2 linked regions of the Daphnia pulex genome follow. Each later gene encodes a partner of the first gene's protein in a complex. Links are inferred from orthologs where the notes say so. Each region holds a gene or a part of one and is shown on either strand. Other genes may lie near its edges. The genes, in order: Bardet-Biedl syndrome 7 protein homolog and ADP-ribosylation factor-like protein 6.

Region 1 (4,291 bases):
GGAAGAACCAACTTACACAAAAAAATGGTGGGGAAAGAAAATTACATTTCCCCCTCCGCAAATCGACAGAAGTTTTTGAATCCATTCCCATGGCGATTCTTTGATTCGTGTGAATTCCCAATATTACCTTCCCTCCGCTCCGCTCCCCCACTCCATTCCCCCATTTTTTGAAAACCAAATTTCTATAGATTCTCTATATATATGTATACAAATATATATTATAAATATATAACCTATAAATGCCGTGTTTCATTTCAAAAACCCCCTCACTTCGAAATATGATCACCAACGTTGCATCATCACATACTTGGAATATTACAAATGACGATACTTGGAAGCGATAAACTTGTGTGTGTAATTCCCAAATGGATTATCCTACTTGAAATATGGAATAAAGAAATCAATCAATAATAATCCGATTAGAAATGCATGACAGGAGGTTGTTTAGCTTGACGTTTTATTCCAATAACAAGAAAAATCAACCAAGAACAAAAGTTTCTCGTTGTCTCTGTCGTGAAGGCTCCCATCCGAACATCATTTGAAGCATTTCTGAGGAAAAGATCAACATGTGCGCGTATAACTGTATAACCCTTTGTCTCCTATATAAAATAACAGTAACTCTCCACTTGTCTGTTTTCTTTTCGCATCCCCTTCCGTTTATTTCGCGTTTCACTTTTCTCCATCGGTTCGAGTGAAAACTGAAATGGTACACGACTCTCAGTCGAAAGGGAGTCTCTTCCCCGAAGAGCTTTAGAAATATAAAATATGTAATAATAATAAAATCAACAACATGCCGGTGTTTTTGATCTTGTCCTCTCAATTCTCCTTCTATTTTAAATGGACCCGAGTCTCCCATATCCTAACAAAAAGACATGTGCAATGTTCGTTTTTTGTTTCTCTTGAATTTTTTCTTCCTCTTTTTCTTCCCTGTGTTGTGTCTGTGTAAAACAAAGATTGCCAGTGATGTGTAATCCAACGTTCTAAATTCTATACACAAAACCAACCAACCAAACCAAACCAAATGAAATGAAGATGATATATTACTGATGTACATGTGTAGGAAAGCCAATAGTACATATACTCTTGTCAAAGTGTGTGTTTTCTACGAGTGTGTGTGTGTGTGCTATCTACTTGTGTATAGTAAGACTACTCTTATGATTAGAATAAGGGTCGGAGGTGAGTTGTCAGAAGGAACAAGACAAAAGTACACGAGTGTTATTCATCCTGAGTCGGACGTGATTCAATTTCCTCTTTAAATGGTGCACTCGGGCGTGTAGCCACACGATGCTGATCCAAACCGAGATTAAATACGAAATGCTGTCGGATATTATTAGTCCTACTATGTGTGAGTGAGTAAACAGGATTTTTAATGAACTTTTTTTCTGTTTTTGAAAGGAGCGCGTGTTGCTGTCATGGCAACGGTGGTTTGTTTTGTTACCCGGTCTCTGTCGGGGGGTAACATCACATCATCCAGCCATTAGCGTGTAGCCACTGTAGCCTACTCTTAGTTTCTACACGAGTGATTCGTTTACATTCCAACAAATGCAACCTTCAGCTAAATTGAAATTACAGCGAGTCGACTATGTGCAAGTGGCTTCTTTGAAGTGCAGCAATTCTATTCAACTTCTATCAGCCAAAGGGGTCAAACATCAGCAAAAGGTAGGATGTATAGACTCGTGTACACGAGAGCACAGAGCAGACCTTCAATCTGCCATCAAACGTGAAGGCTCCTGATGTGTTTGACTAAAAGTCTTTAAATTTGCCTGCATGTACACTAGAGATAGACTTTTGGCATTTGTGAGAATTCCTTTGTTTTGTTTCACGTGATGCAGGTGGTTGTCGGGGATCAAAGAGGAATACTGCAACTCATATCCATCAAAAAGGGAGAACCTTTTGTAGACTTCAAAGTTGAACTAAAATCCCCAGTCAACTGTGTCACAGTTCATGTCAATAGCAACGGTAAGTCAACATTTGATTGTGTTCTGCACACAATTAACCTTTTAATATCATAGTTTTTTTTTTGTAACGGTTGCAGAACCTACAAAAGAAATGATTATTACAGCTACACAACAAACAGTGCAGGGCTTCTCAGCCAAGGGCAAACTAATTTTCAAAATGGACACAAACTTGGTAGAACCTATTCAACATTTGTAAGATATTCCAAACATTTTATAGCTTTTTCCTTGGTCAAAGTCTGTTTGTTGTTGTTGGACCATCTTTGTAAAGCAGCTTAATGAATAGCAGTTACACATGGTACACACACACATCTAGCTGTAATGTGAGATTCTTCCCCATAGCAGCTGATGTGTCTGTGTGTGTATACATAATAGTAACAAAAAAAGGGGCTCCTACTGTTTTCACAACGCACAGGTGGATGGCCAGCAAGGAGGAGTTGGTCGTCTCAAATTCATACGTCTATAATCATTATCAAGATGGGAAGGAGGCCAATTATTTCCTTTCCACTGATCGCATCAACGCTGTAGCGGTGCTTCCTCTTAACAAGGTATACACACCTTTATTATTGCCAGGTTTCTCGTCCTTCCTTATATAATATAGCTGGTCTTATATTGGATCGATGCGGGCCATCATTCCTATTAAAAACAGGTACCCAGTTTGACTCCGTTGCTGGGATGCCAAGATGGGAACATTTATTCCCTGAGGGACTCGTCTGTACGACACCGACTGCCTATTGACGCTGGTATTCCCACAGCCATTCAACTGTTTCAAAACGATGGAGGCACTAGCGGCGAGTGGGTGATTTACGGAACATCGTTGGGTCAAATTGGACTCGTCCGATGGAGTAGAGCTGGCCCGGCAGTACGGTGGGTTATACAACTCCCTTCACAAACGACCGTGACGTCGTTGGATTTTTACGACGTCAGCGACTCGGACGATGGTGGTCAACTGATAATCGGTAGGGAAGACGGCGTAGTTGAAGTGTACCAAGTACCACCCGAAGATGATGCAGTGCACAGCCCTACCTTAATCTTCTCACAAGTAAAATGCCATTTGACTTCTAAACATAACTTTTGATAGGCCCCGTGTGCTAACCTGATTATTTAGAATTGCAACGACAGTATTGCGGCAGTCCGAGGCGGAATTATCGGCGCAGATGGCTTCCCGGAAATATTAGTAGCTACTCAACGTGGTACGTACATATAAAACTCGACCCGGCGTGTCGTTTGCTCCTTTCTATTTCTTCCTTGTACTCAACAACTTATTGATTATGCTAACGAAGGCTGGATATTCGGTCTAACCAGCTGCGAATCAACAACACGGAGAAAACAACCAGACGAAGTGACAGCGGCCCGAGCCAGCAATGCCCACGGCTCCGAACGTCGAAAGCAGCTGCAATATCTCAAGTCAAATTACTGCACACACCCACTCGTTTCACTTTAGCGGCTCCCCAGTAGCCCTTGACGTTTTCTCTCTCTCTCTCTCTCTCTTTGATCACAGATCCGAAGTGGAGTTTCTAGAAAAGCAATTTACCGAGGCGAAGAATAACAAGTCTCCAGCGTTGCTGCCGGCCAGTTTGGAGAAGACCACGTCGGCGCAGGTCAACGTCAGGGCCAAAGTAAATGTTGATTCTCCTAGCCGTTTCTCTCCTTGAGTCTTCAAAAACCCGACGAAATAACTTATCCACTTAAATATCAGATGAACTTTGTGGGCCAGCAGAATGCCTATTACATTAGCGTCGAGAGTCATGTGTCAATCAACTTTATTCTGGTCCAATGTGACACCAACGTTCAACTCATGGACGTCGAACGCAATTTAGCTATTTTGAGCGTAGTCGACCACGAAAAGGTCTGCATTCTCGGAATAAGTCATTATTTGTCTAGGGAGATTTGATTCTCCGAAATGAGATGATGTTTTTCCCTTTTTTTTTTTTTAGAACGGGCCGTCTCGACTAACGGCAACTTTCCGATGCCAATCCAACACCACGCGACTGGAAATGAAACTCATTTGCGCCGAGAGGAATACCAGCGACCAGGTGCGGTTGTACGTTTCGCCCAGCATCCAGGAGCCACGCTTGGCTTTTTTAAAGTCATTTCGTCTGGGTTGCTTGTGTAACCACGTGCGATGCCATCCGCCGGAATCGTTCCAGTGGAGCGCATCGACGCCCCCCAGCAGTTTGACTTTGCGAGGTGGATTCTCTCAGGCGGATGCCCATAATTGGATCGTGTCCTGCTTACCTAACGTCCCGGAAAAAGTCCCGGCTGATGAGGAAATTCATTTTTATTTCCGTAACGATCAGTGGCAAAGCCAGCTAGACGTCCAGTACAGGTATATA
Region 2 (3,840 bases), on another chromosome or scaffold:
TTTTGGATGTTTACCGTCGTGGTACTGGTGAAGATTTTGACTTTTCCAAAGTCCGTCACGATCTTGGTGACGAGGAACAGTAGGAAATTTAGCAAAAGACACACTAACCAGATTACAATTCAGGAATGCTAACTAAAATAACAAAGAAAGAAAAAAAGGCATATTCCGTTTTCGTGACTCCCCCATTGAATATGACGTTCAACTCTTTGATAAATAAAAAAAAGTCAATTAGGGGGAAACGTCAAATTTTTTTCTTGTCTTAACCAAGTGCAGAAGATGGAAATTTTTGGTTAATTTTGCTATCTCTGAATATTTGTTCTCCCAAACAAACAAAAAATAATTGTGTGAATTATTATGCCCCCCATTTATCCGATTCTTATTTTTCTGCTCTCCCCCACCTTTTACTTCTGGCATATATGGTACACACACACACTTGCAAACAACAACAACAAAAAAGCTTATTGTTATTACACGTCATTGGCTGTGTTTCGTGATATCTCCAGTCGTATTCCCTTAACTGGCTCTAAAATAATTAATATTCAAAAAATTCAATTTCGGGAGAAGGAAAACAACATTTCAAGCTTCCTCATTATTTTCAATTATACTTTGGGCATTTTCAATAATCACGAGGAAAAAAATATTTTCAATGTGTGAGTGTGCACCTTTTTGCTCTGCTGCTATCAATTTCATATTTTATTTATCGTTTTCTTTTTTTCGAGTGTGTAATTTTTCTCTTTCATTCCATAAAAGAAATACAACACACACACTCTGGAGCTGGAAAAATTATAGTCAAAAATTTAATTTAATAATTTGGTCAGAGAGCCATTCAAGTCCGGCGTGTAGGCCGACACCGGTCAAAGCGTTGGAAGCCTCAAGATGGATGGGGTGTGTGTCAATTTCGTCCAATCCCAGCTCGGCACGAATCTGAAAAATTTGATAAAATAATTCTTAAAATATCATGGCGTTTACTACCTGAGTAATAAGCCGATTAACTGTTTTTTTGTTTTGATTGGGAACAAAATATTTTTTGGTTGGGGTTTTTAAAAAAATGACCTTGCAGTTGACCTTCGTTAAATCTTCGCCATACACCCAAGAGGGTGGTGATGGAAAGGGGGGGCTGCTGACGTTTAGCCAACGCGCAGGGTCAATGAAACTCCCGAGTGCTTTTTTCTTTTGTTATCCAAGATAACAATTTTTCTTTGGTCATTACATTTGTTAATGTACTTATTTATCCAGATCAACAAGTTGGCAACAATCAAACAGGTGTTGGTTATTTAACCCTGCAATCATCGATACGGTTGATTGTTTTAAAAAAAATACCGGTTTATATTTTTTGAAAGCAATTCACGATGACGTATTTTATATACCGTTACCGTTTGTTACATCACGCCAGCCTGAGGGTTTTGGGGGGTGGGGGATCGTTTCATCATACATATCCCTTTTCTTTTTTAGATTGAAATACAACAGCAGATGGTGGGTAGACGAGCCTACGTGCAATCCCGCCAAGCGGCCGATTTCCCTCCCCTCAACCAAAAGATTCGGTGGAAATAGAGCCTCCGGGAACACACACACACACAAAGAAAAAAAAGGGGGGGGGGGGTTGTTTCCCCAACGTTTTTCTTTCGCTTCACGAAAACAACATGGCGGATATTTCCCGAGATGCTTCTGAATTGTCTGGAATATATATGGGGGTGGTGGTAGGGAAACCTTATCACGTGAGAGAGTCAACCATCTTCTACAATTTCCCCATGAACAGAGGGTCTTCCTTCTCTTTTGTGTGACGGAGTAAAAAAAAAAAGTAGGAGGAGAAAATTCCAAAATGTCCGGCGCCATGACCGTTTTTTCTTTACCTGACCGATCGGGATGGCCAGATGCAAGTCGCTCTTGTTGGCTAGAATTAAAATAGGTACACCAGTTGAACGGTTTTTGACCATCTCCGGATGCTGGATCATGAGTAAAAGTTCGTTGGAAGCGACAGCCATCCGCATGGTGTCACTGCTGTCGATCACGAAAATGACGCCGTGACAATCACTGTAATAACGTTCCCATAACGACCGGTATTTTGATTGGCCAGACATGTCAAATGCCGTTAAAGTTAACCCGGCATCTAATTAAATTTTCAAATTAAACTTACAATATTAAAAGATAGAAAAATGTTTTACAATTTACTTTGAAACTTTTCCACTTTGAATCCGATGGTGGGAACAGTCACCTCCGTTCGTTTGCCTCCCGATTGGAAATATTGAACAACAGTCGATTTTCCCGAATTATCTAAACCTACAATTAAAATATTAGCTTCTTTCTTTTTAATTTTCAACCACGTTAAAAAACTATCCCAAAATTTCATCGTAGAACTTGGTTTTCAATGGCCGTCTGAGAGCAAAACCCGCGGGATTTGTTATGAACGGTAACAAGTTGTCATGACAACGGCAGTCCACTCAACAACAACCTTGGAAGCTTCCAATTTATTCCCCCAATTTCCGCGTAAACGTTTTTCCATAGAAGATGACCTTAATGACGCAATGGAAAAACATGATGGTCATTTTCGGGATGGTTCGGAAAAAACATTCCGGTGGGTGGGAACGACCTAGAATGACCTTCTTCCTCTTCAATTCCGTTTCTTGCATCTGGTGATGGTCAAAGAATAATAAAAATAGGAGATGGAAGAAGAAGAAAACTCTTGTCATCCATTTAAAAGCCCCTTTTTATTTTCTGGGAGGAGAACTTTTTGGGAAAAAAAAAGAAATGGGGGGGCAGAGAAAATGTCGGTTGGAAGAACTAGGCTGCGGGAGGGGGGCTGGGTAAAAAAAAAAACCTTTTTTTCTTCTTTACCCCCGGCTCCCGGTCGCCAGAGGGCGGCGGTCAAATTTTCCACAATAAAAAACTAAAACTTAAAAGGGGGGGCCCAAGGATTTTTATATTTGTTTGCTCGGTCGGCAGACAGAACGAAAATTTTCTTAAATAAAAGTAAGGGGATACCAAATTTGTAAATATGAGGGTAACAATTTGGTCGGTACTATTCACGACAAATAATTTTGAACGTCTAATTTAAAAATCGAATTTTTATCTTTTTTCGCATCCAAGATGGCCGACATTTGGCCGCATTATTTTTTTCGGTCAGTCGTCCAGAGGTCAGTGGAGAAAAAGCGCAAGGAGGTAGGGGGGTAGAATAAGAGGGGGGGGGATGCTTTTCGTGAAGCGAAGCCATCCGATATCTGGTCAAAAGGAGGGGGGAAGAAGAAGAAGAAGAGGAGGAGGAAACGGGAATCGGGCGGCCGAGGGGTAGAGGGGGGGCCCCTTTGTGTTGCTGTACCCCCGGAATGGAAGGAAGAAGCGAACGAGGGTAAAAAGTAGAAAGAAAGAAAGAACAGAAAAAAGGGCAAGGGAAAAATAAAAAGGGGGGGTTGGGGGCCCGCCTGCTCTGAAGTGGGTCGACAGAAAATCGGGTGAATCCATAAGCAACAACCGGGCGGCTGTTGAACCAACCGGGAGGGTGGTATAGGAGGGGGGCTCGGATAAAAGTTGACAAGAGGGTGGCGGGGTGGCGGGAAGAGCCAAAAAAAAAAGAGAAGGGAAGGGAAAAAAAGGGAGGGGGCTAACAACCCCGACCCCTTGTGTGTGTGTAAAGCAGCCCCCTCTACAAATCCCTACGAAAAGTCCGAAGCCTAGAACTCACGGTCATTCTGCTTTCGAACGCTCGACGTGTCGTGTTTAATTTTTTTTAACTGACGCGAAAATTTATTCCCACCCCTACTACAATCAACTTTGATTAAAATATTTCGTGTGCGAGTGTGCGTGTGTTTGCGCCAAAAGGCGCCATTTTTTCGTGATCTCTTTATT

Evidence for each region.
Region 2: the proteins of Bardet-Biedl syndrome 7 protein homolog (region 1) and ADP-ribosylation factor-like protein 6 are in contact, whole or in part, in a cryo-EM structure (PDB 6VBV), measured with the Bos taurus proteins. The link is inferred for Daphnia pulex from reciprocal best matches to the Homo sapiens genes BBS7 and ARL6. Residues at the interface, in NP_001178275.2 of Bos taurus: Leu3, Ile249, Val250, Gly251, Asp300, Gly301, Tyr302, Asp303, Thr319, Glu320, Pro321, His323, Lys324, Glu325, Ser326, Gly327, Pro328; in NP_001069250.1 of Bos taurus: Met132, Asp133, Arg135, Thr139, Ser140, Val141, Ser144, Trp157, His158, Ile159, Cys160, Ala161, Asp163, Lys166.

What each region holds. Positions count from the first base shown.
Region 1 is NC_060022.1:2,276,832-2,281,122, reverse strand, and holds the start of Bardet-Biedl syndrome 7 protein homolog, read left to right. Parts: upstream 1-1,459; 5' UTR 1,460-1,542; coding exon 1,543-1,659; intron 1,660-1,832; coding exon 1,833-1,959; intron 1,960-2,035; coding exon 2,036-2,150; intron 2,151-2,370; coding exon 2,371-2,503; intron 2,504-2,604; coding exon 2,605-2,997; intron 2,998-3,063; coding exon 3,064-3,148; intron 3,149-3,238; coding exon 3,239-3,362; intron 3,363-3,456; coding exon 3,457-3,574; intron 3,575-3,654; coding exon 3,655-3,804; intron 3,805-3,892; coding exon 3,893-4,284; intron 4,285-4,291.
Region 2 is NC_060026.1:4,129,611-4,133,450, reverse strand, and holds ADP-ribosylation factor-like protein 6, read right to left. Parts: upstream 2,420-3,840; 5' UTR 2,348-2,419; coding exon 2,170-2,347; intron 2,108-2,169; coding exon 1,851-2,107; intron 925-1,850; coding exon 790-924; 3' UTR 583-789; downstream 1-582. Other genes in the region: rab GDP dissociation inhibitor beta-like, read left to right, coding at 1-83. UniProt on the Homo sapiens protein: Involved in membrane protein trafficking at the base of the ciliary organelle. Mediates recruitment onto plasma membrane of the BBSome complex which would constitute a coat complex required for sorting of specific membrane proteins to the primary cilia.